Regions from separate parts of the Mus musculus genome. Here all the other regions are reported to be linked to region 2. The links are microRNA targets in miRTarBase. Many come from high-throughput screens and were not tested one by one. Region 2 holds a microRNA gene; each other region holds the end of a gene's coding sequence. Distances are from middle to middle.

Evidence for each region. The annotated mature microRNA mmu-miR-1195 reads UGAGUUCGAGGCCAGCCUGCUCA and lies in region 2 at 2,020-2,042, shown strand. An mRNA with a match to its seed (bases 2 to 7 or 8) in the 3' UTR can be bound and repressed. Matches are read on the target gene's strand: a 7mer-m8 pairs with bases 2 to 8, a 7mer-A1 pairs with bases 2 to 7 and ends in A, and an 8mer does both.
Region 1: miRTarBase lists Mmp25 as a target of mmu-miR-1195. Seed matches in the 3' UTR shown: 7mer-A1 at 1,418-1,424 and 8mer at 1,700-1,707.
Region 3: miRTarBase lists Ranbp17 as a target of mmu-miR-1195. Seed matches in the 3' UTR shown: 7mer-A1 at 3,002-3,008.
Region 4: miRTarBase lists Mrgprb1 as a target of mmu-miR-1195. Seed matches in the 3' UTR shown: 7mer-A1 at 2,873-2,879 and 8mer at 2,901-2,908.
Region 5: the mRNA of Trub1 is a reported target of mmu-miR-1195. The part of its 3' UTR that is shown has no 7-base or 8-base seed match.
Region 6: miRTarBase lists Bbs1 as a target of mmu-miR-1195. Seed matches in the 3' UTR shown: 7mer-A1 at 2,032-2,038 and 8mer at 2,004-2,011.

The regions. Positions count from the first base shown.
Region 1 is chr17:23,626,189-23,631,263 of GRCm38, reverse strand. Mmp25 (matrix metallopeptidase 25) reads left to right here. Exons shown (of 10, transcript NM_001033339.4): 9 at 1-258; 10 at 428-2,095. The coding sequence ends at 696. Among named protein-coding and RNA genes, the nearest start is that of Mmp25, 17 kb to the left of the region's middle.
Region 2 is chr17:70,857,525-70,862,599 of GRCm38, reverse strand. Mir1195 (microRNA 1195) reads left to right here and starts at 2,000; the gene lies at 2,000-2,097.
Region 3 is chr11:33,208,996-33,214,070 of GRCm38, forward strand. Ranbp17 (RAN binding protein 17) reads right to left here. Exons shown (of 28, transcript NM_023146.3): 28 at 2,799-4,503. The coding sequence ends at 4,407. Among named protein-coding and RNA genes, the nearest start is that of Tlx3, 7.9 kb to the left of the region's middle.
Region 4 is chr7:48,442,991-48,448,065 of GRCm38, reverse strand. Mrgprb1 (MAS-related GPR, member B1) reads left to right here. Exons shown (of 2, transcript NM_205810.4): 2 at 1-3,953. The coding sequence ends at 956. Among named protein-coding and RNA genes, the nearest start is that of Mrgprb1, 11 kb to the left of the region's middle.
Region 5 is chr19:57,487,457-57,492,531 of GRCm38, reverse strand. Trub1 (TruB pseudouridine (psi) synthase family member 1) reads right to left here. Exons shown (of 8, transcript NM_028115.3): 8 at 1,527-4,523. The coding sequence ends at 4,264. Among named protein-coding and RNA genes, the nearest start is that of 6720468P15Rik, 19 kb to the left of the region's middle.
Region 6 is chr19:4,886,584-4,891,647 of GRCm38, forward strand. Bbs1 (Bardet-Biedl syndrome 1 (human)) reads right to left here. Exons shown (of 17, transcript NM_001033128.3): 16 at 4,407-4,493; 17 at 299-4,175. The coding sequence ends at 4,089. Among named protein-coding and RNA genes, the nearest start is that of Zdhhc24, 10 kb to the left of the region's middle.

The sequences.
Region 1 (5,075 bases), 47 Mb from region 2:
GCCCGCAGTTCTGGGTGTTCCAGGAACGACAGCTTGAGGGTGCAGCGCGGCCACTGGTAGAGTTTGGGCTGCCCCCAGGAGAAGACGTGGATGCTGTGTTCTCATGGCCTCACAATGGCAAGACATACCTGATCCGAGGTCAAAAGTACTGGCGGTATGACGAGGTGGCCGCCCGCCCAGACCCTGGCTACCCACGTGCCTTGAGTCTCTGGGATGGGGCGCCCTTTGCCCCAGACGATGTCACCATCAGCAACACAGGTGTGGAGAGTCATTTGCAAATTGTGATCCCTGGGAGAGAAAAGATGGAGACGAGGGGAGGGCAGATGGGGTGGGGTGGGGTGGGCATCCTGGGAGTTGGAATGAAAAAAGGAACATTGGCTTTGGGGCAAGTCTAGACCAAGACTCTGAGGCGTCTCCTCCCCTACAGGTGACACTTACTTTTTCAAGGGCACCCATTTCTGGCGCTTTGCGGAGGGCAGTGTCAAAGCTGAGTCAGATTCCCCCCAGCCCATTGGGCCCAAGTGGCTGGACTGCCCTGCCCCCAACTCTGACCCTCGAGTCACCAGTCCCCCGAAAACGACATCCAAAACCCGAAGCTGTGATTGTCACTGCGAGCTCAATCAAGCCTCAGAGCAGCTGTCGCCCCTCCTGCTGCCTCTCCTACCCCTAGTGGCTGGAGAGGTCTTTTCTTACTGAAACCTGGTCCTTCCTTGTGGACTTCCTATATAAAAGGAAGACGGAGTCTCCCGCAGCGGGGCCTCACCATCTGTGCTCCGCGTCCCTCATCCCACGTGCACAGAGCTGAGAGATTCCTAGTAGAAGCCCGGGGACGCCTCCAGTGTTACTGAGTCTGCTTTCTGTTAGGGTGCAGGGAGCCGTGGCCATAGTGAGGGTGGCCGCCAGGGGGTGGTGTGCACCCTCTCCATCGCCAAGAGGGGCGTGCCTGCTGTAGCTACTAGAACTAGAAACCCAGCAGAATTGCAGCTCCTCAAACCAGAATTGCTCCTCCAAACCAAGGTGACACTAACACCCAGGTTATGTGCTGCCTTCTGCTGAGCTAACTGGCTTTCTGGGAATCCCCACTCCTCTAATTCTCAACTAGTCCTACTGATCACAGTGGGATGGTGACTGTACTCTGACTAGATGCGTTAAACAGGACCAGGACATTGAACCCCAGCATCTCCTTTAGCCTCTGAATGTTCCTGAATCTTCTTACCATGATCTACTCCCTCCATGTCCCTTCATAATCACTGCCACAGGGTAGGGACTTAGGCCAAGCACTGCCACCTCCTCTAGGGTGTGCGTCAAGTCTTGGCTGACAACAGTGTTGATGTGGATGGAATTTCTCCATGTTTGGCCCTGCTTATCTCCTTTTACGTCACCCTCATCCCAGAACACAGCCTAGGGTCATCACCCTGAACTCAGGATTGCCCCATTCATTTGGAAGGGATCTTATGATTCCTGTCTTTGTCACTGATTGCTGTCCTAGCCCCCCCCCCCCCAGGGTGCCCAATGAGACACAGTGAGCAGTGAAAAAAAAACCTGAGGTAGCTTCCTTCAAACCAACTTCCTCATAGATTCAGGACCTAGATCATTGCTTCTGTGCAGAACCTCATGGGATTTTTTTTTTTTCCCAAGACAGGGTTTCTCTGTATAGCCCTGGCTGTCCTGAAACTCACACTGTAGACCAGGCTGGCCTCGAACTCAGAGATATGGGGCCTCTTCCTACTGAGTGCTGGGATTAAAGATGTGCACCGCCACTATCCAGCATCTCATGGGTATTCAAGAATAAAGATCATTTTCCCTTGCCCTGAATCCGCATTCTGGGGAGGGGGCCAAGAATCTATATTTAGGAATGAATGCATAGACAGCTTGAGTAGTTTACTTAGTAAGGCAAAAGAACCAAGTTTAGGATGGAGAGATGGCTCAGTGGTTAAGGGTACTGGCTGCTCTTCCAGAGGTTCAGAGTTCAATTCCCGGCAACCACTTGGTGGCTCACAACCATCTGTAATGGGATCCAATGCCCTCTTTAATGTGTCTGAAGACAGAGCTACAGTCTCATATACATAAACTAAATACATCCTTAAAAAAAAAAGAACAAGATAGCAAAGCACTCTGAAGAGAGGTTAAGTAGGCTCCCCAAGGTGGGGGAGAGGCCTAACGGAAGACTGACTACCCCAAGGTGTGTGGGTGGGTGGGTGGGGGGAGGCCTAACGGACCGCTTCCAATGAGGGGTTTTATGAATATGAGGTAGGTGGAATATTTATTGGGCAATGCGCCCTTATTTTCATCTCAAACTATGGTGGACCAGATCTTTCATTGTTAGGTCCACAAAAGGGAAGGAATGAAAAAGCATTAGGAACTTTTGTGACATATATGATATTTCAATATTATATATATATCAAAATATAATATTGAAATATGTATTCAGCATATATTGAATGGTCAATATTATATATATTGAAGGTATGTAGGCTGAATGTCCTTGTGGTTTAGTTTCTTGTATTGTGGAGACAATGTAACTGCAGCTTCAAGGAAGCACAGGTGCCAGGGGTACTCTGACAACCAGGGGACAGCCACCAAGATGCAGCTGTCCTCACCTCTCTAGTTCCTTGGCTACTGGATGGTCTCTGCTGGAACCTCAAGGATTTCTGAGAAGCCATTTTACCCACCACTGAGTCTGTTACGGAGTTAGGAGAGTGTGCGAAAGGTGTGTGAGTCCCTCAGCCCTCATCGGTTCGGATCAGAGCCTTAGACTGAGACCATAGTTACTGGCTTTTCTGTAGAGCTGCATGCTTCTGAGTCCGTCAGCTTTTCTGTTTCATATCCAATTACAAACTCTATTATTTTTCGCCTTCAGTGTTTTGTTGAAGACCAGGATGGTCTCATACAGAGATAATCTGGCCTCTGCCTCTGGAGTGCTGGGATTAAAGGTCTGTGCCACCACAATGGGATCTAAAGTGTTCTTTATCTTCACAACTTCATCAAATTAATTCACTTTAACTCACACATTTGCTTTTTACCATAATGTGGGGGAGGGGTGGGGAGCTGGGAACTAAGCCTGACTCAGGAAGAGAACGAAACGGGATTGGAGTGGCTGGAGAAGTGCTCTCTAGACTTGCAGAGGATTCTGTTTTGTTTCCCAGCATCGGAATGGCCATAACTCCAGTCCCAGGGGATCTGATGCCCTTTTCTGACCTCTGTAGGTGTGTGGTACATTTGCAAGCGAAACACTCATGTACATAAAGAGTCAATCGTTTTAAAAGGGTGGTCAGAGAAAGCCTTTATTTCTTGTGAGCGTGATGGATCTGGGGCAGCTGGAATAAGATGTCAGTCACTGTGCACCGCAGGAGAAGCTGCAGGCTTGGATGAGAAGGGGGTGAGGGGTTGGTTTTAAAAGAAATGGGGGACCCAGCTGTTATGAGGTTACAGGAGTCTTAAAAGGTAAGAGAGGAGTGTTGTGAGGTCAGTAGTTTCCAGCCTCCTGGAAAAGTTATTTTGCTCCAAGAAAACTGGTTAGTTCTGGACAACAGCAAAGAGACTGTCTTGGAGCCCTGAAGCCTCAAGTCCTCGCCTCTTTCAAAGAACATTCTAGAGTTTACTTTGCCCCCTTACTCAGGCTATGTGCACTTGCTTAGACTCTGTCCTCAGGCTCCCTGTATCTTCACCCTGATTCTTTTCCTGATCTCTCCAGTCACTCTGCTTCTCTTCTGTTTCCTTGGGGTCAGTGCGCCAGAGCTGTGGTTGTCTGGTGGGCAAAGCTGTATCCCAGGGAGCTGGGACTTGTAAATTCAAAAGAGTTTTATCCACCTGTGCTGTTGCTAAAGGATGGAGGGTTACAGGACTGAGGGTCATGGAGAGCCGCTGAGGCCTGGTACCTGCTGAAAGAATCTGAGTCCCTGAGGAGAGGTGAAGTTATAGCCTCAGTCATAGATCCTAGGATGTATCTATTGACCAGACTGCTGTAAAAGTTTTGATGAGGGGCTGGAGAGATGGCTCAGCGGTTAAGAGCCCTTGAGTTCAAATCCCAGCAACCACATGGTGGCTCACAACCATCCATAATGAGATCTGACGCCCTCTTCTGGTGCATCTGAAGACAGTTACAGTGTACTTACATATAATAATAAATAAATCTTTTAAAAAAACGTTTTGATGAAGGCCTGAGGAGAAGGCTAAATTGGTAAAATGCTTTCCTGACAAGCTGAAGAAGTTGACTTTGCTTCCTAGAATTCATGAAAGGAAGCTGAGCGATGACCCAAATGAATAAAGCACTAGATGCACAAGAGAGAGAATTGGAGGTTAGAGTCCCCAGCATCAGGTATGGAGTGTGGGAGCTGCCTGTCATCCATTTACTTCAGAGGCAGAGACAGGGAATTTCATAGCAAGCTGGCTGCTGAGACTAGCTGAGTCCGTGAGCTCTGGCTTTAATTGAGAGACCTTGCTTTGACAAATAAAGTGAAGGGTGACCAGGGAAGACATTTAATGTCAAATTTGGGCCTCTACATGCACACATGTACACAAAGGTATACCAGTCACATGCAAATACACATGCATACACTCTCCCAAACACAAATAATCTCTTCAAGGTACTGGAGAACACACTAAGATGCAGACCCACAACCGAAGGATATATCTAGCTGGGCAGAGCACATTGCCCTCTTGAGCCAACTGCTACACACACAGTTGGGATGTGTGCATGTAACATGGATGTGTGTGTAACATGGATGCACATGGAACATGGATAGACAGAGCTAATTTGAGATTCTCTCCCTTTCTTTTACTTTAAGACAGGGTGTCTTTGTTTAGCCCTGGCAGTCCTGGAACTCTGTAGACTAGGCTGGCCTTGAACCCTGCCTTTACCTCCTGAGTGCTGGGATCAAAGGCGTGTGCCATCACTGCCCAGTGATATTCTCCTGTGGTCATATCTCCCCCAAAACATTAAATTCCAACTGGAACCAAAAACTAGAAGCCACAAAGACCTTTGACCCTTATCACTGCAACACATTTTGATTCTAGCTAATGAGAAACCATGCTCTTACAATGAAGCTTGGTCCAGTATTGTTCACACCAAAGTC
Region 2 (5,075 bases):
TCACTTAGTACGGATTTCTGCTAAATGTACAAGTGCAAGAAAAAAAATTGTAGAGTCAGAAGAATGAGAGGCACAGTGTGGGACACAATGAAAAACACTCAGATGGGGGCTGGAGAGATGGCTCAGTGGTTAAGAGCACTGGCTGCTCTTCCAGAGGTCCCTCGTTCAATTCCCAGCACCCACATGGTGGCTCACAACCATCTGTCATGGAATCTGATGCCCTCTTCTGGTGTGTCTGAAGACAGCAACCCTGTACTCACATACATAAAATAAATAAATCTTTAAAACAAACAAACAAACAGAAAATCACCTAGATGTATTTCAAGAGAGCGCCAGTCAGTTGAAGAGTGTGGAAGGCAGAATTACTTGAAGTAGGGATGTTTTGTCTTTAAACCCCCAGACCAAAGGGAGGAAGCAAACAGGAGTTAGTTACCAGTGGCAGGTAGGGCTGTTCTAGCTTGCTATCTAGGACTAAGTACTCATTACCCTGAGGTAATGGGACTAAGTACTCATTACCCTGAGGTAATGGAAAGCAGGTTGCTTGTGGTTAGAAAAGAGGGCGCAGATATGAGAGGCGGGGAATGGAAGGCAGTGCTGTGTTTGCTGAAATTGGAAGCACAAAATAATGTGGGCCCCTCCTTTCCTCCACTACACCCCATCACACACATACTCTTGTTTTCACATATACTCTTACCTAGGTAGCCCAGAGTGGCCTCAAATTCCAAATTCCCATGCCTATCTCCTAAGTATCAGAAGTATAAATATATAGCTGTTAACCATTGTACCCTGCTTGAATTCATGATTTCCAACATATGAAGGTGTGTGTGTGTGTGTGTGTGTGTGTGTGTGTGTGTGTGTGTGTGTTTAGTTCTGCTGAGAAACCCAGAAGTAAGCAATCATGGTTCAGTAGCAGTGCACTAGACTGGAGCTCATGTTGATGTCTATAAGTGATTCTCTTTTCTACAAGAATAGCCAGCACTTGCTGGAAAAATGATCAGTCCAGGGCTTGGGGACTGGAGCAGGGGAAGTGTAGCATGCACCTGAGACACGCCACTGTCCCAGACGGTAAGAAAATCTTCCAAGAATGGTACAAGAGGACAAGGAAACCGGTTTGGGGACTATTGGTGCTGGCTGCTGCTGGGGCAGGGACAGTCACTGCCTTCAATTGTGTGTTCACTGGGTGAGTCTACCAACTTCAGCGAATGCTTCTATACCCAGTGGCACGTGAACCACTGTGGTTAGACTCAAGGGGTGCAAAACAAGAAGGCATGAAGGGGCTCGAGGGTTGTGCAGAGGTTAAGAGCACCTGTTATTCTTGTAGAGAACCCACATGGGGCTCACAACCATCCAAACTGCAATTCCAAGCATCCAATGCCCTTTTCTGGCCTCTGCAGGTAGCAGGCACACATGGGGCACATGAGTACATTCAGGCAAAACATGTAATATTAAAAAAGAGAGAGAGAGAGACATGAACATGTCAGAGGGACTGGAGGGGAAGATGAGAAGACAGGGAGAATAATCAGAATGCACTGTGTATATATCAAATTGTCAAAGAATAAATTAATAAAAAAACAGTTTGAGGAACTTCCTCTGGGTAAATCCAAGAATTTTTACAATAGTGGTGGTGATGATGATAATAATAATAAGAGGCTATTAATGCACTAAATAAACCAGGACTCCAAATGTCCTGTAAGTAGACAGAGCAGCACAGACAACTGGAGGGGCAGCTCTCCCTACCATAGGACACAGCAAAGCAATGGAGAAGGAATGATGGAGTGAGGAGGCTGAGATTGAAGGCTTCAAAGACAGGACATTCACCTATTTTGATACATTTGATAGATTTATCAACCATAAAGGAAAACATAATGCCCACAGTGGAGAGTTTGGGACACATCACCTTAAACATGAGATCAAGGTTATAAATAAATAAATAAATAAATAAATCTGCCAGGCAGCCGGGCTGTGGTGGCGCTCGCCTTTAATCCCAGCACTTGGGAGGTAGAGGCAGGCAGATCTCTGTGAGTTCGAGGCCAGCCTGCTCAACAGAATGAGTTCTAGGGCAGCCAGGAACACACAGAGAAACCCTGTCTCAAGAAGGTAAAAAGTAAAAAAAAAAAAAAAAAGAAAAAGTAAAAAAGAAGAAGAAAAAAGAAAAGAGAGAGAGAACAGTCTACATTCTGAGGGGAAGCTGTAGTAGCTACACAGTATTGAACACCACACACAAGGCTTATACACACGACACAGTCAAGCCTGCATTATTTGTAGAAATTTAAAATGTCAAGCTAAAAACTTGTTTCTATTCATGAGCACAATGTTAATTTCTTGCCATTTAATGAAGATGCCCTCTTGAGATGGACAGACGGCAGGACAGTCTAAAGCACTGGCCTTGATTGGGTGCACAAGCCTGACTGAGCTCAGTTTGATCCCCAGCACCCACTCGAGTACAAGGGTGTGCCACGGTAACCCAGTGCTCTCAGAAAGAGATGGAGAGTGGAGACGGAGAATCAGCAGAGCTTGCGGACCACCTAGGCCAGAGCACTACTCAGTGAGAAGCAACAGAAGAGACTCCATCCCCCAAAAAAGGTGCAGAGAGAAAACAGACTCCTAAAAGCTGTCCCCTGACCTCCACATGCCTGAAGGACACCTCCCATATCTCTGTGTGTGTGTTTTACAGAAAAAGGAAGGAAGGAAGGAAGGAAGGAAGGAAAAAATATAAAGGTTTTTGTCTTTTTGCCCATGGTCACTTGAATCATGAGACAAAATAAAATTTTCTTCCCTTAAATTGCTTTTTGTGGAGCCTTTGGTTACAATAACTATCCAATTCCAACCACAGGAGGAAAAAAAAATGTGTGAAGATTCGAGTGTATTTCATCAATCAAACAACACAGAACAAACTGAGCACATAGTGTGTCGGGTGCCAGCAGAAAGAATAGAAACGCACATTGAAGAGTAAGCCTGCCGGGCGGTGTTGGCACATGCCTTTAATCCCAGCACTCGGGAGGCAGAGGCAGGCAGATTTCTGAGTTCGAGGCCAGCCTGGTCTGCAGAGTGAGTTCCAGGACAGCCAGGGCTACACAGAGAAACCCTGTCTCGGAAAACCAAAAAAAAAAAAAAAAAAAAGAGTAAGCCTGCTGGAGCAATTTTTTATCTCTTTATTAACCTAAATAATGGGTTATTAGAACTAAAAGCATTAAAGTGCCAACTAGAGATGAAAAGTAATTGTTCTCTCTGGAGAAACATTTAGCCTTAGAAGCAGAAAACAGCAAAAGACAATGGGGTGTATAATTCTGGGGTGACCAGACCTGCCTCTGCCTCCCAAGTGCTGAGATTAAAGGCATGCGCCACCACTGCCCTGCAGACCCAGCCCTTTTGTGAGTAAGTTCAGAGCTACAGATCAGACAAGCTAGAACATTAATCATAACTGCTGATCCAGAAGTGATGTGATGTCTGGGGTTTATATCAAACAATAGAAGTAAGCAGTAGCTTGTAGATGAAGGAAGACAGTTCAGGGGTCCAGAGTACACACTGGCTTTCCAGTCCAGTGGTGTGCAGCACAGTGTGTAGAGCCCTTCCCAGAGCCCAGAGCTTGGATTCCACCTCCTCAGAGAACTAGGTGGTGGGTGATACACGCCTGTAACCCCAGCACTTAGCAGGCTCAGGCAGGAGGCAGGGTCAGCGTCTGGGTTACACAGTAAATTCCCACACCATCCTGGGCCTGAGCTATAGAGTAAGAAGAAAAGGGGGAAAAAATCCACGATTTAAAAAAGTTAAAACGCAAAACCACTCTGGGAATGGTGAACATTGTATCTGAGATTACACATCTCTTTAGGATTTTACTAAAAACAAGATGAGAGAGGTGGCTAGAGAAAGGCTCAGCAGCTAGTTGTCATGGGGTGCAGTTCTAGAGATAGATTCCCAGCACCCACATGGTGGTTTACAACTTCTATAACTTCAGTGCCAGGGGAGGGCACACACACATATAAAAGACAATAGTAAATGTTTTAATTAAAAAAAAAAAAAAAAAAGGTTTTGGGCTGGAGAGGTAGCTCAGTGGTTGTGATTGAAATGTTCTTGCAAATCATCGGAGTCAGTTCCCTGCACCTTTGTTGGGAGGCTCTTGATGGCCATGTCCATGGAAACCTTGTGTGTATATAGGTGTTATACACCTATACACACTTATACACAAACCTATGTGTTCATGTATAGGTGTGTGCACAAAACCTTTTGTGCATACATCTATACATAAACACATAGACACATAATTAAAAACAGTGTATTTAGCTCACTCAGTCAAAGTGTTTGCCTCCCAGGCAGGAAGGTCCTGGACTTAATTTCTAGTTTTACACTAAAAAAAAGATGTAGGCATGGTAAGGCAGGTTTGGAGCCCTGACTCCTAGGAGGTAGAAGCAAGAGAAGCAGAAGTTCGAGGACATTGTCAGCTACCTAGAGAGTTCCCGACCAGCCTGGGATACATGAAAACCTGTCTATAAACAAACAAACAAACGAGTGAACATACAAACAAATAAATAGATGGAAAGGATTTCTTGAGGACCAGTACATATGTATGTTATATACTCTTTAAATATGCTAGAGAGCTTTCAAAATGAGAGTGGAATGTACCAATCTTTCTATATCAAGTATAGTAAAAAAAAAAAAAAAGTAATATAGATGTCAGAGTTTTGTTTGTTTTTGTTTTTCGAGACAGGATTTCTCTGTGTAGCCCTGGCTGTCCTGGAACTCACTCTGTAGACCAGGCTGGCCTCGAACTCAGAAATCTGCCTGCCTCTGCCTCCCAAGTGCTGGGACTAAAGGCGTGCGCCACCACGCTCGGCTCAGAGTTTTAACATCAAGTTTGCTACAGCTGAGGTGTGGCTCAGTGGTCAGTGCTTGCCTAGTAATAGGGAAGTCCTAGGTTCAACCCCCATCACTGCAATCAACAAATAAATGTAAAAATAAAATTTATTCATGTCGCTTGCAAGGGAATAAGCATTCCTGTCACTGAAGAAAATATGAAGGGATTGCCTTGGCTTCTGCAGGACACCCTGTGGAGATCACTCCCCTCTACACAAATACCA
Region 3 (5,075 bases), not on the chromosome of region 2:
GTCCCTCATCCATCGGCCGTTTCCCCATCTTGTGTTGTACAGCTTTCCTCCCTCTTCCTGACAAATTTTCTCTGCTGAACTTGACTTCGTTTCAACCCTTTTGTTGGGCAAATTACATTAAGATGGATGTTGCAGGCACCCTTTATGGCTTATTTATCATGATACTGTTTCTATCTCACGCTTATAAATAACTTATGTTATAGCTTTTGTTTGTGGAGATGTAACTTACATATTTTATTACGCTTTCTGTAAACCTCAAAAAGAATCTTGTCAAGGGAAGCGCTCTTATCAGCAGTCCAAACTGTGGGACGTAAAACCCAACACTAACATTATTTTTTAATATGCCAAGGAGGTAGGTTACTCTTGCTGTAGTTGGAAAGGCTCGCTTCCTCATAAACTTGCACCTCAATAAAACATTAAAAAGTCTCAAGAACGATTTTATGAAGTACAGCAGGAGGATGAATCATGGCAGAGCTCACAGACTCAGCTCAAAGTCTCTGGGTAGACTGGCTTTTCTGTCTAAGTATTTAGTCCTAACGGTTGAGGGGCCTGAAGGGCCCCCTGTCTACCTCATCAGTGACAGCTACAGAGGACCCAGTTTGGGATTAAACAGAAAAACAAAGTAGGTGTGTAGTTAGGAAACTCTCTTGACTTCTGGCACAGAGGAGAAAATGGCTCCAGGCTGTCTAAAGGCCTGAGGCTTCAAGGGTTATTGCCTTAGGGAAGAGAGGTCCTTGACCCACAGCATGCTTTCGGAGAAGGGCTAGAACTAGGATGTGCCTAGACTGTGTGGACCACAAACGCCATTCCCCATCACCTCTTATTTCTACTCTTGGACTAAGTATGGGAGGGTCTAGCTATGCAGCCTTTTCTCAGTCTACTTGTTTGTTTTCTCATCTCTAAAACAAGGAAAACAATACTTGGCATTCTTACCGAGAAGCAAGGCCTAGCAGGTGAATCCAGTTCTCTTGCAATTGTTTCCGACTCACTGTTCCTGTTCACCGTGGTGCTAGCATGGAACATAGGGCCCTGTAAATGCTCCACCAGAGCCATACCCCAAGTCCTGTCTCTCTCTCTCTCCAGAGGCTCCTTTCCTCATTCATGGCCCTCAAATGCGCCTCCCTCCAAAGTGCCAGGCTGGCTACTACATCTGAATAGGGTAATATGACAGGTCATTTGCCCTTCAGTTTCTCTTACCAGCCTGCCCTATTCTGATGCTCAGCTGCACTGAGATAATCTGGTCACTCATCTAAGTTTTCAGCTATAAGCCAGCCCAGCTTTGCATTTTGGAAGGGGTCCCCATGACCACAATCCCAAGGTATGTGTAGACTGCCATGCCAGTGGGAGGGAGTCCAGGGAACCAAGAGGGTTTTTCTGGGCTGTTCAGATCATGACACACAGTGCAGGGACCATGTGCTCCCTGGTGCCCTGCCCTTACATGTTGATGGAAGGGCACTGAAAAGTGAGACACATCTCAGTCAGTATATCCACAGACCACTTCTTGCTTGAGCATTGACTCTGTAGCTGGCTTGACATAGAGCGCATACTGCATGCATGTTTGTACACTAGAATCTTTCTAGAGGGCTGTGGCGTGCAAAGGCACCCCATACCCCTATTCCACTGATGCCTTTACCAAGTGGTGGTCCCTGTGGCACTGTCAGCACTATTTTTCCTTATTGCTGAACTAAGGCAGACAGATACACCTGCTATCTGATCACATGAATAGTGGCACTTGCTGTTTCCTTGTGCCCTCTGGTTTGCTGGGTATCCTAACATGTCGGTTTTAATACTGGGATAGAATGTCTCCAGAGGCCACTCCTGCATTAAACCTCTGGGGTCTCTGTCCCCATGCGCCTTCAAAGCTTTGGTGGGCTTGGGAGTCCCAACCTGGGTTTATGTCTGTGATGCCATGAAGGTGATCCTTGGACACTTGGCCCCCACTTCTGTTTTCTCTCTGAGGAGGGGGGATCATCACAGATTAGAAAAATTGATAGTTCAAGGGAGAAACCTATGTAGCCAAGGCCAGGTAGGCTGTGGCAGACCACTTTAAAGGATACTGCTGCCAATATCCCTGTATTCAGTCTGTCATCGTGGGCTCCTTCCCAGTGTGTGGGGCAGGACTAGTGTTCTCCCAGCAGCGGATGGAGGCCCTTTAGAGCCAGGGGTGGGGGTGGGGGTGGGGTAGGGGTAGGTGGGGGCGAAGCCTACCCTCAGATCTCTAAAGTCTCTGGCTCTTTTCCACAAGCTAAGTAAGACCTGTGTGGTGAGCCACGATCCTTGGTGAGCCCTGTGCCGAGCCTACCCCTAAACACAACCATTAGCTTGTGAGCCTCGGCCTTCCTCACCCAGGCATTCCGTACAGTATGGAAGCGCTCTCTACCTCTCACCTATATCTCCAGGCTAAAATTCTGGAGTCATTTACTGTTAATGACCAAGCTCTGAAAAACAGGTAGAACAGACCTAAATATCAGCACCACTTCCATGGAGGAGGCACAGTTCCCTCGGGACAGAGCTGGGTGAAGCTATGCACCATCTCTGGCCCGCCCTTCCTGATGCTGCAGTGTGAGGGAAGTGTGGGTAAGAGTAGGGGCTCCATGCTCGCTGACTGTCCTCTCTCCTAAGCTGGCCCCTACAGAACACTCTGTAAGTCAAGCAGTCAAGCTCACAGAGGCATGAGGAGACTGGCTGACCCTGCTTCTCAAAATGCTTCCCAAGACCAAGTCTGAAAGGGACTCTCCACCTCCTGTTAAGCTCCCAGTGATCTCTGGTCACAGGGCAAAGAGAAGGGAGCCCACAGCGTTCTTTTCTTGTGAACACTTTAATGCAAACGATGCAGTGCTGTTGACTAGAGGCATCTGTGAGAGACGGTGCTGGAGCGGGGAAGCATGTGCAGTGCTGTGGGAAGAGGGCAGCTACAACCACCCTGCCCACAAGCACACAAGCCAGGCATTGTGGCCGATGCCTATCAACCTTCACTGAGGAGGCTGTGGAAATGTCACAGTGAGTTCCAGGCCAGCCTGGGCTACGTAGGGAGGCTCAGACAACCAAAACTAAACAAGTGAAAAACTAAACAAAAACCAAAGAGGAATTCTTGTCAAGCTCCTTGAAAGCTGATGTTTCTAAGTACAGGATTTGTCTCTCTAGGAGAGTCCTCTTCCCTAGCGGAGTGGGAGGAGTACGGTTCAGGCTCACCTGCCTGCTCAACACCACAGGCACTCTCATCCAGACCCCCCGTTTCCCACGCTCCCTTTGCACACGGAAGACAGACACTTGGGCATGAACTTAGGTGGCTGGCTTTCATACGACAAGCTTGTTGCAAAACTCAACCATCAAGAAAGGTTTGAAGAAACACTAGTCTGAGAAATGAGATTACAGCAAGAGCCTGTGGATTTTCCCCTGCAACAGTGAGGTCAGCCTTTCAGGTCTGATCAGACATTATGGCCGCAGTGTTTATTGTAAGCCTGAACGCCAAAGTCAGTGCAGTGAGATAGGAAACCCGCCTGACAGTGGCAATTCCAAATTAATAGCTTAGGTTTGATGGGTCACAAGCTGTAAAGGCCTTCATTTCCTATGTTTGGATGAAGTCACATCCAACAGTGGTTAAGCGTGTGGAAGGCGGAGGGAGGGCGGAGGGCAGAAGGTGGCAGCTGAACTCTGCTGGGTGGTCAGAAGGCAGAGCTGCTTCCAGATACAACTTGCCACCCTCAGCTTTCCTTCAAGTTAAATGGAGCTTGTGCACCTAGAACTTCTAACTAGGCTTCCAGAGTCCTAAACACATCTCTCTGCAGGCAGCAATTGCAGAGCTAATTCTTCTAGACTGAACCACTTTAGATTTATGCCAGTGGAAAGCAAACATTGTTTGTTAGTCATCTAATTGTGTTACTGTCTCTGAACTTTATCAGATATTGCTGAGGCAGAAAGGCCTGTGTGCAGTTCTGGGGGAGGCTTTATGGTGCTTCCTCCCAAGCTCCTTGTCAATGCCCACAGCCCCGAGTCCCTAATATTGCATTTTCCAGATGTAAAGATTGAATTCAACAGGTTCAGATGGCATCTGTCTCGACCCAGAACCCACACTGAAGTGAGGGCTGCATCTTCACCAAATCCACAGCCGTGGTCACAGGCACTAGCCTGGTTTACTATGTTCTTTGGTTGAATACAGTTTCTAGACCCTTTAGCATTGTGGGAATCCAGATAGACTTGAAACATGTGCTGCTTTGAATACTGAATTTACATTGTATGTGCACTATTATAAATTTTTATAATTAGCTCAGACTTATAAAAATGTAGGGCTTTAGCTGCTTGTTCTGAAAAATACACTCTTCTGGGCTGGCCAGCATCGTAGTCTGGAACCCAGACCTTCCAGATTCTCTTGACAAAGGCTGCACAGCCCACGCTCAGGAGCTGGGTCAGCTCATCATGTCCAGGCTGCTTAGGTCAGTGTGGCCATCGCTACGCAGGGCCTCTGCCACATCTCTTCTGAAGACGGAGAGGTTCTGGGTAAACCTGTGGAAAGAGAAGCAGTGAACACGCAGGCCGTAAGAAGCTCTAGAGGAAGGGCACCGTGGGGCACAGGACCCAGGAGGGGACTCCGTACGAGGAGGCTCCTCAGTGCTGGGAGTTCCAGCAGCCACTGCTCTTCTGCTACCAGCACCATCTCCCACTGAATACCAGCACTCCCACGAAAGCCACTCTCAGCAATTTAGGGATGGAGAGCATTTGAAGTTCTACTAAAACATTACAAAATTTAGTTATGTCTCATACTAGACTGAATTTACATATGGGTACTTAATCATTATAGGTCTCCCCAAAAGTAGGTATTATTATCTTCAACTAGAACTGAATTTAGTGAATGAAAAATAGGGGGGTGGGGATGGAATGTGGTAGCTCAGGTCTGTAATACCTGAAGTTAGAAAGCAGTGTAGAGGGACCGTGAGTTTGAGTTTGAGGTTGGCTGGCACTATGTGGTGAAATCCTATCTTAGCAAAAGGTGCAAATGTGGTGTGTGTGTGTGTGTGTGTGTGTGTATACATATGTACTGTGTTTGTGTACTATGCACGAAGCCTTTAGTTTGATTC
Region 4 (5,075 bases), not on the chromosome of region 2:
ATGGAATATCATTTTGTGAAGTTGTGTCTCGTACCATGACTTTTCTTTCCCTCATCATTGCCTTAGTTGGGCTGGTTGGAAATGCCACAGTGTTATGGTTTCTGGGCTTCCAGATGAGCAGGAATGCCTTCTCTGTCTACATCCTCAACCTTGCTGGTGCTGACTTTGTCTTCATGTGCTTTCAAATTGTACATTGTTTTTATATTATCTTAGACATCTACTTCATCCCCACTAATTTTTTTTCATCTTACACTATGGTGTTAAACATTGCTTACCTTAGTGGTCTGAGCATCCTCACTGTCATTAGCACTGAACGCTTCCTATCTGTCATGTGGCCCATCTGGTACCGCTGCCAACGCCCAAGGCACACATCAGCTGTCATATGTACTGTGCTTTGGGTCTTGTCCCTGGTGTTGAGCCTCCTGGAAGGAAAGGAATGTGGCTTCCTATATTACACTAGTGGCCCTGGTTTGTGTAAGACATTTGATTTAATCACTACTGCATGGTTAATTGTTTTATTTGTGGTTCTCTTGGGATCCAGTCTGGCCTTGGTGCTTACCATCTTCTGTGGCTTACACAAGGTTCCTGTGACCAGGTTGTATGTGACCATTGTGTTTACAGTGCTTGTCTTCCTGATCTTTGGTCTGCCCTATGGGATCTACTGGTTCCTCTTAGAGTGGATTAGGGAATTTCATGATAATAAACCTTGTGGTTTTCGTAACGTGACAATATTTCTGTCCTGTATTAACAGCTGTGCCAACCCCATCATTTACTTCCTTGTTGGCTCCATTAGGCACCATCGGTTTCAACGGAAGACTCTCAAGCTTCTTCTGCAGAGAGCCATGCAAGACTCTCCTGAGGAGGAAGAATGTGGAGAGATGGGTTCCTCAAGAAGACCTAGAGAAATAAAAACTGTCTGGAAGGGACTGAGAGCTGCTTTGATCAGGCATAAATAGCTTTGAAGAGAACTATGTTTTTATCACTTTGTGGCATTTTCATAATGTTGTTTAGTTGATGACCCAAGGTTAACTCAGTTGGGGAAGTAGTCAATGTTGTAGAAGTTGATTGATATTGAACTTGTTATAAATACTGAGTACAGTATTTTTGCAGCTATCTTGCTCAGAGCTTTACCAACTCCATTTGATGGGACTCCTTATAAGCTCTATGGGGTCCAGGAGAGGTGTTGACCACAATTGACAAATCCCTCTTCAGAAGAAAACTCAAGAAAGTGCAATGAAAAGTTATATTTCTTTGCTCACTTAATTTGATAGTGGTTAAATCCTTGTTATACTTTGCAAAAAAAATTCTGTTTTAAAACAAACTTTTTCCAATAATGAAGGGCTAAATAGATAAGTAATAATCACAGAACTTACTAATTTCTGTAGGTTTTAATAAATGTATGATCATCTTTCTTATATAAATTTCTTAGTAAAGATGTAAACATTCTCAAGAGAAGTCTGTTAAATCACTATTCTCCCAGTGGATTCCTCACCTTCAAGTTCACTATCTATTCCATTTTCAGCATTGGAAGAGTGTGCTCAGTCTAATAATGTGATCCATCAATATCCATGCTCATGAAAAGGTTGAGAGTGTCTGTCCTCTTTTCTTCCTTTCACAGTGTCCTACTTAGCTTCCCATGGTTGAGTGTTGACTTTGTCATGATTCTCCTTCTCTCTGACTCTTTCCTCATGATATTTTTCCAATCAGGTCCTCTATAACAGGTTCCCTTGATATCAAACTTGTTTTAAATTTATACCATTTCACGAGCGAGTAGCATCTAAAAACTTAATTATGTAATGTTAAGTAAAGTTTTCTATAAAACAGTATTTCAATTTTAAAGCTGCAGTGTGTGATAAATTCAATTAAGAGGATAGAATATCAACAGATTAATGTAAAAAAAATCAGGATTTTAAGTTAATATAGGTATAAAACCTAATCAAGACACAAAACACTCTCTTATATTTCTTAATTTTTATTTCTCCTCCAGTCAAAATTTTTTGTCAGAGGTAAATATGCTGTCCATATTTTTGTTGCAAACTAAAATTTACAGTGCAAATTAAAGATTGTAGCATGATGTTTGATATACATGTAGCTAAATGGTTGTTATAGTTGAACAAACTAACATATACAGCAGGTTATGTAAATATTCATTTTCTCCTTTTGCTTGGCCCAGTATTTCCTCACCATGTCTCCATTCCTCTTTTGGAATGGATGGTAATGTACGATCTGTGCCTGTGTATGTGGGAAACAAGTACTGTGCTTTTTTTATTTGACAAGGAGTTACAATTAAGAGATTGCCTTGAGTATCATAAGAGACTTTTGACTTTTAAACTGTGTTTGTACTGTGAAAGACTATGAGAACTTTTCAAGTTGGATTTAGTGTGTTTTCTACTGTGATATAGCTACAAATTTACATGGTCCAAGAACTGGAATGTGGTGGTGTACCTGAAAAATTTCCTCTACAGTCTCATTTTGGAATTCTTGGCCCCAGATTGGTGGAACTGTTTGGGATGGATTAAAATGTGTGTCCTTTTTGGAATATATCTCAGTAGGGGTAATCTTTGAGGTTTCAAAAGCCAGTACTATTCCACATCAGCCCTTTATCTGCCTCAAGCTTGAGAGTCAGATATAAGCTTCTGGCAACTGCTCCATTGCCATGCCAACCTGTCTGCCTCTTCTCAGGCTTCTGGCTATGAGGGTCATGTATTCCACCCCATGAGAATTATGACATATCTTATGAAATATTTTGTATGAGTAGACTTTGTTATCACAGCAACAGAAAAATAATTATGAAACTTTCTTTTACTTAATATTTTAATTCCTTTTTTCGTTTTTCGAGACAGAGTTTCTCTGTATAGCCCTGACTGTCCTGGAACTCACTTTTTAGACCAGGCTGGCCTCGAACTCAGAGATCCACCTGCCTCTGCATCCCGAGTGCTGGGATTAAAGGTGTGCACCACCATGCCTGGCTGTTAATGTTTTTAAAACTATGTTTTTCACCTTCTAAGAAAGATTTGATAAGAAGTGCATTATTTCCTTATATATAGTCATATATAGTCATTATATAGATACTAACACTTTAAAGTACATTCTACTTCCAAATGAAATGATGTCATATATTTCTCTTTACATTTGCTTCCATAATGCAGCATGACATATATTAAATTTTCAACATGTAATAAATAACCTGATACCCGGGTTCTTAACAGTAGAGTAATCATGTTCTGTTTGTGACTCCCGCAGTTTCACAATTGATTCCTTCATTGTTCCTTATCTGACTTGTTCCTCTAGCTTGAATATTGTGAAGCAAATATAAAGACATAACAATGTTGCTACTAGATGCCTATTTTTAAATAAAGCCATGCCAGATTAAAATGAAATGATGGACAAAGATATGTTACTAGGATACATGCTCTCCCTTATTTTCTGGTCTTCTACAGTCTTTCTGCTTTCCTACTCCTCAATGTTTTCTGAATATCAGGTGTGGGAGTCATTTATACATGTATTCCTTTTAACTGGGCTCCATACATCTACATTTTTTTCTGATTTTCCTTAGTTTTCGTTGTCTTTGTTACAAAGAGAACTTTTCACAATGAGAGGTGAGGACTACACTTAGATGTGGGTATAAGGACAAATATATAGAATGAACTTAGGAATTATGTTAATGAATACAGCAATGGTTGTAGATTTCCCTCCAAAAATTCATAACTTCACCAGCCCTGAATAAATAGCTAGGCTTCCCATGTCACATATGATTTCCCCTTTTGATTACATGTTAAGTCTAATTGGAGATCTGTTGATTACTACAGAGTTATGTGAGGTATCTGTGCAGCCTTAGGATTATTATGCCTTGATAGCATTTGATGATATTTGTAGGCATCATAACTGTACATGACTACTAATCACTTCCTTCCTTTAGAAGCTTGCATGGTATGTTCTGGTACATGAATGGGAAGGCACTTAAATCAACTCCAGCTCAGATGTCTTTGGACCCTGTGTTTGGAATACATGGTGTCATCAGCAATAGGTACTTAATTTCTACATCCGAGGGGCAAGCAAAGGAGACAGCAATATCCTCTATGCTTCACTAGTCTCTCTTTCTTCTAAATCTTTATATTAATTTTCTAAGTCTATATTTCTAAGTCTTTAAATCAAACTATAAGTCTTCCTATTTTAGCTTCTGTATTATACTGTGCCTAATTAAATAGGTGGAGTATTTATGATAAGACATGTAGTGGTTTTCTGTTTAGGAAAAACACTTAAGATTCAGGGAACATTAAGAACAATGGAGAAGAAAGATGGTAATATCCAGAAGACCAGATGTCTGCACCTAGATAGAGTCTTCTAGACATGCCAGGGAGGCTGCACCCACACAATCTCAACAATGTCAAAAACTCTCAGTAATCTTAAACAAGACCTGCATAGTGATAACATCAGTACACATGTCAGTGTAAATATGGAAATCTCACAAGGATTCATCCCTAGATGACATTGCTACAAGCAATCAGTGGCTACAGCAATAGAGAAAATCAGTTTTCTTCAGGGATGAGCCATCCTTATGTGTTACTAAATCTAAAGTGATCACACTTAAACTTATACGTGACATGTAGTATGAGCATCAGTAAATAGATTAAGTTGCTTCTATACATGTGCACACACACACACACACACACACACACACACACGTGTGTGTGTGTGTGTGTGTGTGTACGTGTACAAGTAACATAATATAAAGAAGAAAATGTCTTGAATTTGAGAGGAAGTGGAGAAGCAGAAGAAGAGTTGTGGGGGAATGATGCAAATATGGTACTCATATTGAAATTCTCAAAAATTAAAAATAAAATAGTATACTTCATGGAGTTAAGAGGTTCTTGGCAGCTGATGAATGCTGGAGAGGGAGACTCATTTTTTTTTTTGTGGGTATGAAAATGGTAGGTAGGTTGTCTGAATCTTGGCAATGATGCCCCACATATGCACATATCATTAATATCAATTGGATTCATTGGATTGGAAAATAGGTAAATATGAGAGTGAAATCTTTCATTGGGAGTCACATACACCTAAGCCTGTCCACA
Region 5 (5,075 bases), not on the chromosome of region 2:
AACTGAGTCCCTCAAAGACAAAGTGCCGCCAATCAAAGAGCTGATTAATGATAATCAAAAAGAATCGGTTGTTTTCTAAGAAATGAAACAGAAATGGAGAAATGAATTCGAAAACAATTCCTAACAACTTTCTGACTGGCCTCAGCATTTTTAATATCATCCTAAAAATGTCTTATTGTAGAACTTAATTTACTTGATGATAAATGAAGACATTATGATTTGAGGGCCATGGAATCTCTGTTTAACATCTGTATTTAAAAGCTGACCAGGGCAAGCTACAGCCGCTCACACAGCACCTTGAGAACAAAACATTTTAAGACGGTCCTTCTATTTAAAATTTAAGGCTATTACTATAATTTCAGTGCCCAAACTGCATGCTGTTATCTTTGTCTGACTTAATAAATGCATCTGTGCTTGACAGTGCTCTTGAATTACATTTCTGCATTATCCAGAGCATGATACAATTTAAATTACCTTTTTCCTCTGAAACAGAACGGCTCACCCTCTAATGGAAACTCAAAATGTTCGTTCTAAGTTTGATTTCAGACTGGTCGGAGGGGCACAAACTGTACCAGCATTTCTGAGGCGGGTGGTTCTCCATGAGTCAGCAACCTCGAGTTAATTCATGTAGTGAAGAGCGAAAGACCCAGCGAGCTCAGGAAAACGTTAATTTGTCTCTTGTTCACCAATCACAGCTTTGAATAAATTCCTATTATTTTAATCCTTGTAGATTTTAAGGTCAGAAGATAATTCTGTGACTATTTTAAACATTCACATGAGACCAACATTTCTCAGAAACCTAAGAGTTAAATAATCACAGTGAGGTGATTTGGTATGTTCCGTGCTGGGATATCTGAAGAAAATTCTAACTTACTTTTTTTGCCCATAAGTAAAATGACTTTAATCATGCCAAGTATCTCAATGCCTGAAATATATAAGTCACATATATTTTTCTGATGTTCTGATTAAATTTTAAAGAGGATGAATGTTGAACTAGTTCAGACCTTGGGTCTTGGTTTCAGCTACCCATGAAAGTTAAGAATATTTAAAAATCGTAATAAATTTTAATTACTCATATTTACACATCTGACGGTAGTGAAACCTAAGAGTCAGCAAAACCTAATATGTTTACAAAGCAAGACACAGGTTGGTGCTGCCAGCCCAGCTGGCTCTTGAGTGCCCTGGGAGATAACCCTGGGCACGCCTGGGAGGATGATCCTGACAGGCTAATTGAAGAGGGATGTCTGTGTTAGCAATGTGCAGGGCCACTCCCTAGGCAGGGGCTCTGGGCCGCGTTAGATGGAGAAAACCTGCCGAGCAGTACCATTGGCTGCTTGCTGTTCCCGGCTGCAGATTTATGAGACCAGCTGTCTGGACCGCCCGCTCTGGGATCCTCAGCTGCAGCCAGAGGAAGCACTCCCCTTTAGGTCCCGTTTGTCAGGGTATTTCATCACAGGACCTGGAGAAGAAACTGAGACAGGCCAGGAAAACCACTTCTGCTAAGAGCTTACTGCAAAGAACTCGTGTTACATACAAAGAAACATTTATTTAGACAAATGAACAGGGTGTGAAGGTAGGTCACACAAAAGCAGGGAAACTTTAGCAACAATGTATAAAATCCCAAACAATGGTGGTACTATATGTTACAGCCCAGGGGATCACAAGCTCTTATTGCTTCCCCTAAAATAACCACATTACAAGAATGTGTCCTAGAAAAAAAAAAAGGCTGCTTATGTGTGTAGCCCCGGGAAAGTAGTTTAAATGAACTGAGTACAGAGATATAACAGATATATTCGTGAAGACTAAATGTGCCCAGATAAAATCGTCTCAAGAATCAGTAAGAGCAGAGGAGCCTGAATTATGTAAATAAAGAGGAAAATGCAATATAAAAATAAAATCCAAAATGAGTGCATTAAGATGGTGAACATTATGGGCATTTTTAAAACCTGCATAATTTCTCCAGCATTTCCAAACAAAAGGAAAAGACTGACTGCCATTTCTTGAACTTGCTTGCTTTTTCATAAATTTTACTCTTCACTATGAGAAGAGTATAGATTGACCCATGGCTGCAGCCGCATATGTAGCAGAGGACAGCCTTGTAGGGCATCAATGGGAGGAGAGGCCCTTGGTCCTGTGAAGGCTCGATGCCCCAGAATGCCAGGGCAGGGATATGGGAGTGGGTGGGTGGGTGGGGGAACACCCTCATAGAAGCAGGGGGAGGGATGGTGGGATTGGGGGTTTCTGGAGGGGAAACCGGGGAAGGGGATAACATTTGAAATGTAAATAAATAAAATATCCAGTAAAAGAAAAAAGAAAAAAGAAACCTCTAGGCTGTATGGTCTATTCAGGCTTGAGCTGTTCATGATGAAGACATACCATGTACAGCCTAGTCCGTTCTAACGGGCAGCAGGATCTAACATCACCTTTGGTTACACGAATTACAGGACATTAGATAGGAATATATAAAAATATAAACATACAGGGTCCCACTCCGAAGTCCTGTGTAGTCCTGGCTGACCTGGAACTCACAGAACTCCACATGGCCACGCCTCCTGAGTGCTGGGATTAAAGCTTCACCGTGACATCAGGCTCAAAGCTGTGTAACTTCCAATTCATCAATTTACCATAATACAACACTTGTATTTTTCAGTCTCATACTAAGAATTCGTTTTTAAATTTAAAAACATTTCATTCTTTTGGTTTTTTATGTGTGGGGGATGGGCACGGTGTACGCGCACTGCAGAGTGTTTGTGGACAACTTGCTGGGGTAGAGGTTCTCACAAAGGTTGCCCAGGGGTCAAAGCTCAAGTCATTGGTCCTGGTGTCACCAGCTGAGCCAGGTTACCTGCCCTGAGTTAACATTAACGTTTTTATTAAAACACGTTGCCAGTCTGCTGAGAATGCCCTGTTGAAGCACCCAACTGTTTATATTAGGTTTGCATTACATTAACCACAATAAAACCGTCAGTCTGCTTATTTAAAATATTTTAGAGGCAACAACCTCTAAGAGGAAAGGTATGAAAAATATAAAAACTTGTACTTTACGGAATGTTTAATAAATCTTCTTTTTGAAAATATACGTTAGTAAATGAGGGAAGCCTTGACTATTGCCACAGCTGTACAATACCTTTCCACATTCCTGCAGGAGTCAGTGGCCTATGCCTCTAACCTCTACACTTGGGAGGTAGATACAGGAGGAGTCTTGGCTACATAATGAGTGGGGCCATCCTGCGTTAAATCTCGATATCTTAAAGTAATTATTTTATGTATGTGTGTGGAGGCATGGGTGTTCGTTCACAGGGGCCCACAGGCCACAAGTGGGTGCTGGGTCCCTTGGAGCTGAAGTAGCGAGAGCCGCCTGCTGTGGGTGGGTGCAGAATCTACACTCCGTGCCTGCTGGACAGGCAGTGTGTCTTCGCCTCTCCAGTGTCCTCAGTTTCCTTGTCTTCAAGAACTCAAAACACACAATAAAAGAATAGATATTACTATAACAAAACAATGAAGCACTCATAAAATCTGCTGTTTGAAAATGTGATCATATTCTTCATAACTACAGAAACCATGTCACTGGACCAGGGTTCCGCAGTCACAGAGAGGCGCTAACGAACAGGCAGGAGAGCATTTTAATTCAAGATACATTCTTTAGTTTATATTCTAGAAAATCACATTTTTGGTACTTTGATACCATGTGGTTGACCACAGAAATAGCTGCCACAGTCCACGGCTACAGGAGCTGAGCTCTGCTGAATACAGGATCTGAAATGAATCACGTCTCACGCTATTTACATTCTGTCAGTGGCCAAAGCAGGAGTTTGTGCATTTACAGATATGTATTAGGACAACGTATTGATTCCCGGGATTTAAGAAACACAGTCACAGCTGAGTACAGCCCACCAGCACCTTCCAGCAGCCATAGGCTCTGCAAACACACAGGACAGCTCGACACTGAACACTTCAAATGTATTCAGAGAATTTCAAAACAACGAACGCCCCCTCCCCGAGTCTAAGCAAAGCAAGTTTGACACTTCTGTGAGACCAGTGGAACCTGCAGCTCAGACTTCAGGATTCTGTCATTAGAATATTGTTTAACTTTTTCATAGGAAAAAGACTAAGGGAAGATCAAATTCAGAAAACTTATTTATCTGAATCCAATCAGATCCATCATTCAGAGACATTAAGACATCTTGCAAAGAACTCAAGAGGTGTATGGGCATTCCTGGTCGGGACAGACACCAACCAGGAAATGATCCTCCCAGGCCGGCCTCACAGTGTCTTAACTGCGTCATCTTCTCTCTTTGTGTCCCTGAGAGTTATATATCCACAGCTTATAACCTGGTCACTGGAGTTGTCAGATTTTAGTTTTTTAAATGTCAGCTCCTCCGGCAGAAGAGACGTGCAGCGCTCGAGGGACTGTTCGATGTCATCGATGGTCCACCTGTCTTCGGGGAGGGCGTGCTGTGCAAGTGTGAAGGGCCCCTGTTTGGTGCGGGTCAGCTCCAGCACGCTGGCACAGGAAGAGAGCTCTACGGTACCCAAAAGGAAAAACGCAAGATGAGCCGCGTGGCGTTCACAATCCACAGTCTTCCAGTCAACAGAACTTCTGACCTCCCAGGGTGCCAGCCCAGCACCAGAGCCCAGAGCCTGAGGTAAGTCACTGCTTCAGCAGGAAAGATGATTTAGGGATGTAAATTTATACCTGTTTTCCTTTCTTGGCATTTGAAGCAAGCCCGGGACATAAATATTCCCACTACCTTGCAAATAGGATAATGTGACCTGTCCACTCATGTGATCAGGGGACAGCAGAGGCAGAGAAGGCACTTTCTGGGTTTGTAAGATTATGGCTTCCAGTTTTTGTTTTTTGTTTTTAAATGATTTGTATCAATGTAAATAATTTTTACAAGGATAACTCTTTGTTCTTCTGACCTCTACTTTGAGTTAAAATGCTTTTTACTTGGAAAGATGTAGGCTTCCCACCCACTCTCGCTGTGTTCATCTTCTGCCCCATCCGTGCTCCCTCTTCCATTACCAGCACCTCCCGGCAGCCACTGGGACTCAGAAGTGCACACTATAAACCC
Region 6 (5,064 bases), not on the chromosome of region 2:
TATAGTAAAGAGAATAAAACAGGGCCCAATCTTGGGCCAGGACAGAGAGGCCAGACCACAGGAGTCTCAGGCTGTGCCCCTTAGGGGCTCTGCTGTGCCTGCAGATGGCCTGCACACCCTCTACAGAGAGGCCTGGGTTTTTGTGCAAAAACAAAATTTCACCCTCCACCTCTCCCCACCCCAGATGAAGGACTCTGTACTTTTGCTTTATTCTCTGGCCTCTGGTTCAATATCAGTTAAAGCCCCTGAGTGCTTCCTATTACCTCCCCCCCTACACACACAAAATAAAATAAATTCATTATGAGTTTTTGTTTAATTAGATGCTGTTAGGCTACTTACATATAAACAAATGCAAAACTTAAAGAGAAGAAAATATAAGAACTGAACACAGGAACTAAGAAAAACAGTTTGAAACGTAAGAAAAGCTTACAAAATTCTCACTCTTGGAAAACAAAGCAAAAAGATGACCATGAAAGAAGAAAATTAGGATCAATGCAGTCCTCTCAGTAGCGACCATCTGTCAGACAGAGCTTAACTGGAGCCCCAGAGAGAGAATAACAGCCAGCCCTGAGGAGGAATGCCCGTTACCCCCACCTCAGAGTAACAACTGGGACAGAGCACAGAAGACATGGGAGCTTCGCCTACAGGAAAACTGTTCCCAGCTTGTTTTACCACCCAGACTGTCACAACAGTGTCCAGACAAGCAGTGATATAAAGACTTGGGTGGTATCTTGTCAGGGTTCTCTAGAGTCACAGAACTTATGGAATGTCTCTATATATTATGGGAATTTATTGGAATGACTCAGGCTGCAATCCAACTAACCAACAATGGGCAGCTGTGAATGGGAAGTCCAAGAGTCTAGTAGTTGCTCAGTCCCATGAGGCTGGGTGTTTCAGCTGGTCTTTTGTATAAGCTGGAATCCTGAAGAACTAGGCTCCAACAGATGTGCTGGCAGGTAAGTGCAAGCAGGCAAAGAAGCAGCAAGCCTTCCTTCTTCCATTGTCCTTATTTATGGAGGCCTCCAGCAGAAAGTATGGCTGAGATTAAAGGTGTGCACCACCACGCCTGGACCTAATTTGTTCTGTTCCAGGCTGGCTTGAACTTAAGAGATCTGCTAGCCTCTGTCTCCTGGGATGAAAGGCAGGAGTCACCTTCCCTGGGCCTGAGCTTCTCACGGTCACTGTGCTCCAAGGTCCAGATCAAAGCCCGTGCCTTCCAGCCTCCAGCTCTGGAGCACAGGGTGCTCCAATTCTGGACTGTAGCTCAGGCCAGGTACAGTCAACGTGACAGCCAGGAATAACCATCACAGGTGGGTTTTAGAGTGATCTTACCCTGGGTACGTTTTACCCAATGAGGGCGGAAGAAGAAAGAAGACATGGGACCCAGGAATCAGGGGATCTAACAGGAGAAGGAATTCTCTTCTAGGGGAGTCTGCACAGAAGCAAGTTAGAAAGGAAGTGTCCCGCCCGAGAAATGAACTGAGATAGGATGGGGGGATTTTCCATGGTATATTAGAAAACTTAGCAATGAAAGAAAGAAAAGTCAAACCAAGTGCCAATTCCATGAAAACATCTAAAAGTTCAAAAATGGTTATAGTTAATTCTCACTTTACTAAGACTTTCACGAATCAATATAAACAGCAATGTAAACAGTGGGCACTGACTACCTAAAGCATGGAGAGCAGGGGAGGGGTCTCAAGAGCACCAAACGCTTATCTGCTGCAACAGGGATCAACAGGTAATGTCTAAGGACTCTTGCCAAGGACCCAGCACCCATACTGGGCAGCTCACAACCACCTGTAACTCCAGCTCCTGGGGAATCCAAGGCCCTTTTCTGGTTTCTTTGGGCACCTGTATCCACCCACACACATAATTTTAAAAGAATCTCTTTATATATATATATATATATATATATTTTTTTTTTTTTAAAATAGTTAATGGCTGGGTGGTGGTGGCGCACGCCTTTAATCCCAGCACTTGGGAGGCAGAGGCAGGCAGATTTCTGAGTTCGAGGCCAGCCTGGTCTACAGTTGAGTTCCAGGACAGCCAGGGCTACACAGAGAAACTCTGTCTCGAAAAACCAAAAAATAAAATAAAATAGTTAATGAAGATGGCTGTTGTACAGGAATGGTCCTGTGGAATGGGAAGAGGGCATTTTACTTTAAATAGTCTATTCCAGGTCATTACATAGGTGTGTGTTTTAAAATAAGTATTATGTTAAAAAAAGATAGACTCTTCTCATCCTTAAGGTTCAGTTTCCTAGAACTCTGACTTCCGTGAGTACTGGACACTCTGCACCGTTTATGCTTCATGTTCTTTTATGTGCATAAGGTGCATGGCATACATTTCTTACTAGGCAAGCATAGTATGACACTGTGTTTTATGGTAGGACCTGGTCATATGTCTCACCCCTTGTATCATCATGAGTAGCTATGAAGAGTGCACACATCAAATATTTTTGTTCTGATTTCACAGCATGACTTGGGTGAAAGGGACTGGGATGTCATGATCCAACCTGGCCCCATGAGAGCACAGCCCCGCTCACATGACACAGTGACAAGGGCTCAACAACTTGGACAGGCCTTCCTGTTTACTGTGCAGGATAGGCTGGGGTTTGTGACTCACAGCAACATTCCCTGCCCTCTCCCATCTTCAGTTAGACCTCCAGCGTGGTCCAGCTGTGCCTCACTGGATGATGCACAAAGAACCCTTTGCTCTCCTTGCTCAGGTAGTACTGTCTTGAGGGGGATGGGCAATATGAGAACGAGGATGTTTCTTTGGTCCAGACCCACTGTCTCTTAGCCTGGGCCCTGAAGTACCCTTTGAAAGGGTCACCCTGGTCCCCGAGTGGGCGCAGAGGCTGTTACTGGGCAGTGGTGGTCAGCTTAGGTTTTGTGGACAAAGCTGTGCAGTTGAGTCTCGCCTTCTTGGAGCAATGCTTCCCTTTCTCCTGAGGAGCTGCCAAGCTCTAATGGTGCCAGAGCTGACAACGGCTTAGAGTTAATCCAGGCAAGTCTCTTGTACTGGAGAGGAGGTGGAAGCTTGCAAGCCTAAGCTGGGTGCCACACACCAGGCTGAACCTGATCAGACTGGGGAAAATGTTGCTCTCCATGGAGCAGGGCTCCTGCTTCTCAAGTGATTCAGAACAGCCTCTGAGGAGGGCCAGGGGCCCTGACCCTTGAGATCTAAGCACATCTACCTTCAGTCTTCGGCTTTATGCCACACCCCTGGTGTGCACCTTTTCCGTGAGCTCAGGCATCTTCTGGCCACTGCACAGTGAACATTCCACCCTCAGGACCATCTCGGGCTCCTGGACCTAAGTGCACTCTGACAGGCTCTTGTCGGCATCTGCCTCTTGGGTCACTTCCCAGGTCCCAGGTCCAGACCTCTCCCAGTGCCACCAGCCCCAGCTCCGCTATCTAGCTCCGCATTCCATTTCAGAACAGTGCCTCTGGCCATGAGCACCCATGTCGGGAGCAGCTGCTGGCTGTGTGGCTCTAGCTCCTCACACGGACCCCGTCTACTTCTGGCACCAGCTCCTCTGGCAATCTCTGTGGCTCGTCTAGGACCTGGGGACAGAGCCCCATGACTCCTGGGCTTCAGGGTAGAAAGTGGAGCCCCTCTTCAGTTGAGAAAGCTTAGCACATGTGCCTATAAACCAAGCTGGCAGCACCCACACCCCTGCAACTTCAAAGGACAGCAGAGGATCAGTACCAGCCGACATCTAAGCCCTCGATCAACTGTGCTCTTGATCTGAAAGAGGTGAGTGGAAGGAAGGACGGACGGACTGAGGCTATGCTCGCCCTGACCACCTCACATCTCTTCCTGGGACCTGGGGAGTAGCAGGCAGCCGGAACTGAGGGACAGGGCTTGAGTGGGTTCCGAGGAGGAGGAGCTGATTCCGAGCACCCCGTGTCTTGTTGCTCAGGTCACTGGCAGAGGTGGGGAGCAAGGGACTGTGTCAGAGAAGAACAGGGAGCTGCTGTCTCACTACATTGCTACCGGGGGAAGTAGTCTGGCAATACTGGAAGTCACTGAATCCGAAAGGCTCCATTTTGTTTGTGGAGACTTGAATGCTGGCGCAGGGCTCAGGCAGCTGCCAGACCCTCACTCACAGGCATGTTGATGTGGGCACTCAGCAGGGGAGCACTCTGGCCTTCCCGAAGCACTAGCACCTAGGGAGGGAAAGACAAGGCAGAGGGGGCAACTTGACCTCCCCTCTTCACTAGCAGCAAATCTGTCTGCTGGCTCAAGTGACAGGCTCCCGGCTTACCTGCCAAAGGAATGGCAAGGCTGGGGGTCTCTGCTGTGCTAACACCCTATCACAGCCCTGGGTCCCATAGTCTTCTCCAGCCTCATCCTACTGCTTCCCCAGGGTCCCACTTGCCTCTGAAGTAGCCACCTACCTTGATCATGTCTGAGATGCCCTTGCTACTGAGACTCTCCACAAAGGTTTCCAGTGGGTAACTGAGTCCTGGTACCAGCAAGGGAACCTATTTGGGGAACAGAAATAGATTAGCCCTCAAAGCCCACACACCTAGGCAGCATCTGACAGATTACAAAGCAGTTATGGCTGTCCTCTCAGGATGCTTCAGCCTGGGCAAGCATGACCAGCCAGCTCCAGGGAACAAGGTGCAGGGAGGGGAAGAGCATGCCTCGGGCCCACGTGTCTGTGGTTAAGCCCAGACTCCTCTCTGTTCCAGAGTTTTGATTATTGTTTCTCCCAACTTGAGGACCCCTGGGCCCTGGGGGAACCGGGTCCTTTGCTTCTGTCGTGATTGGGGCAGAGAGTGGCTCCTTTTCTTCAGCAGGAACAGCTGGGAAGCAGCCTGCCCTCTCCAATCAGGGGTGCAGAGGAAAAACTCACACAGCTATTTTCCAGCCCATCCTGTGTGGCTTCCTGGGGTCTCTCTGGCTGGGAGAAAGGTGGTGGAGGCAGGAGCTGAGTCTGGTCTCTGTCTTGTGTTGGTCTACTGGTCATTCCCTTACTCTTACTGCAACTTACTATGGGCACTTTATTAGCTCCAGCCCTGCCTGTTGGAGCCCACGTCAGCGTGAAGATCT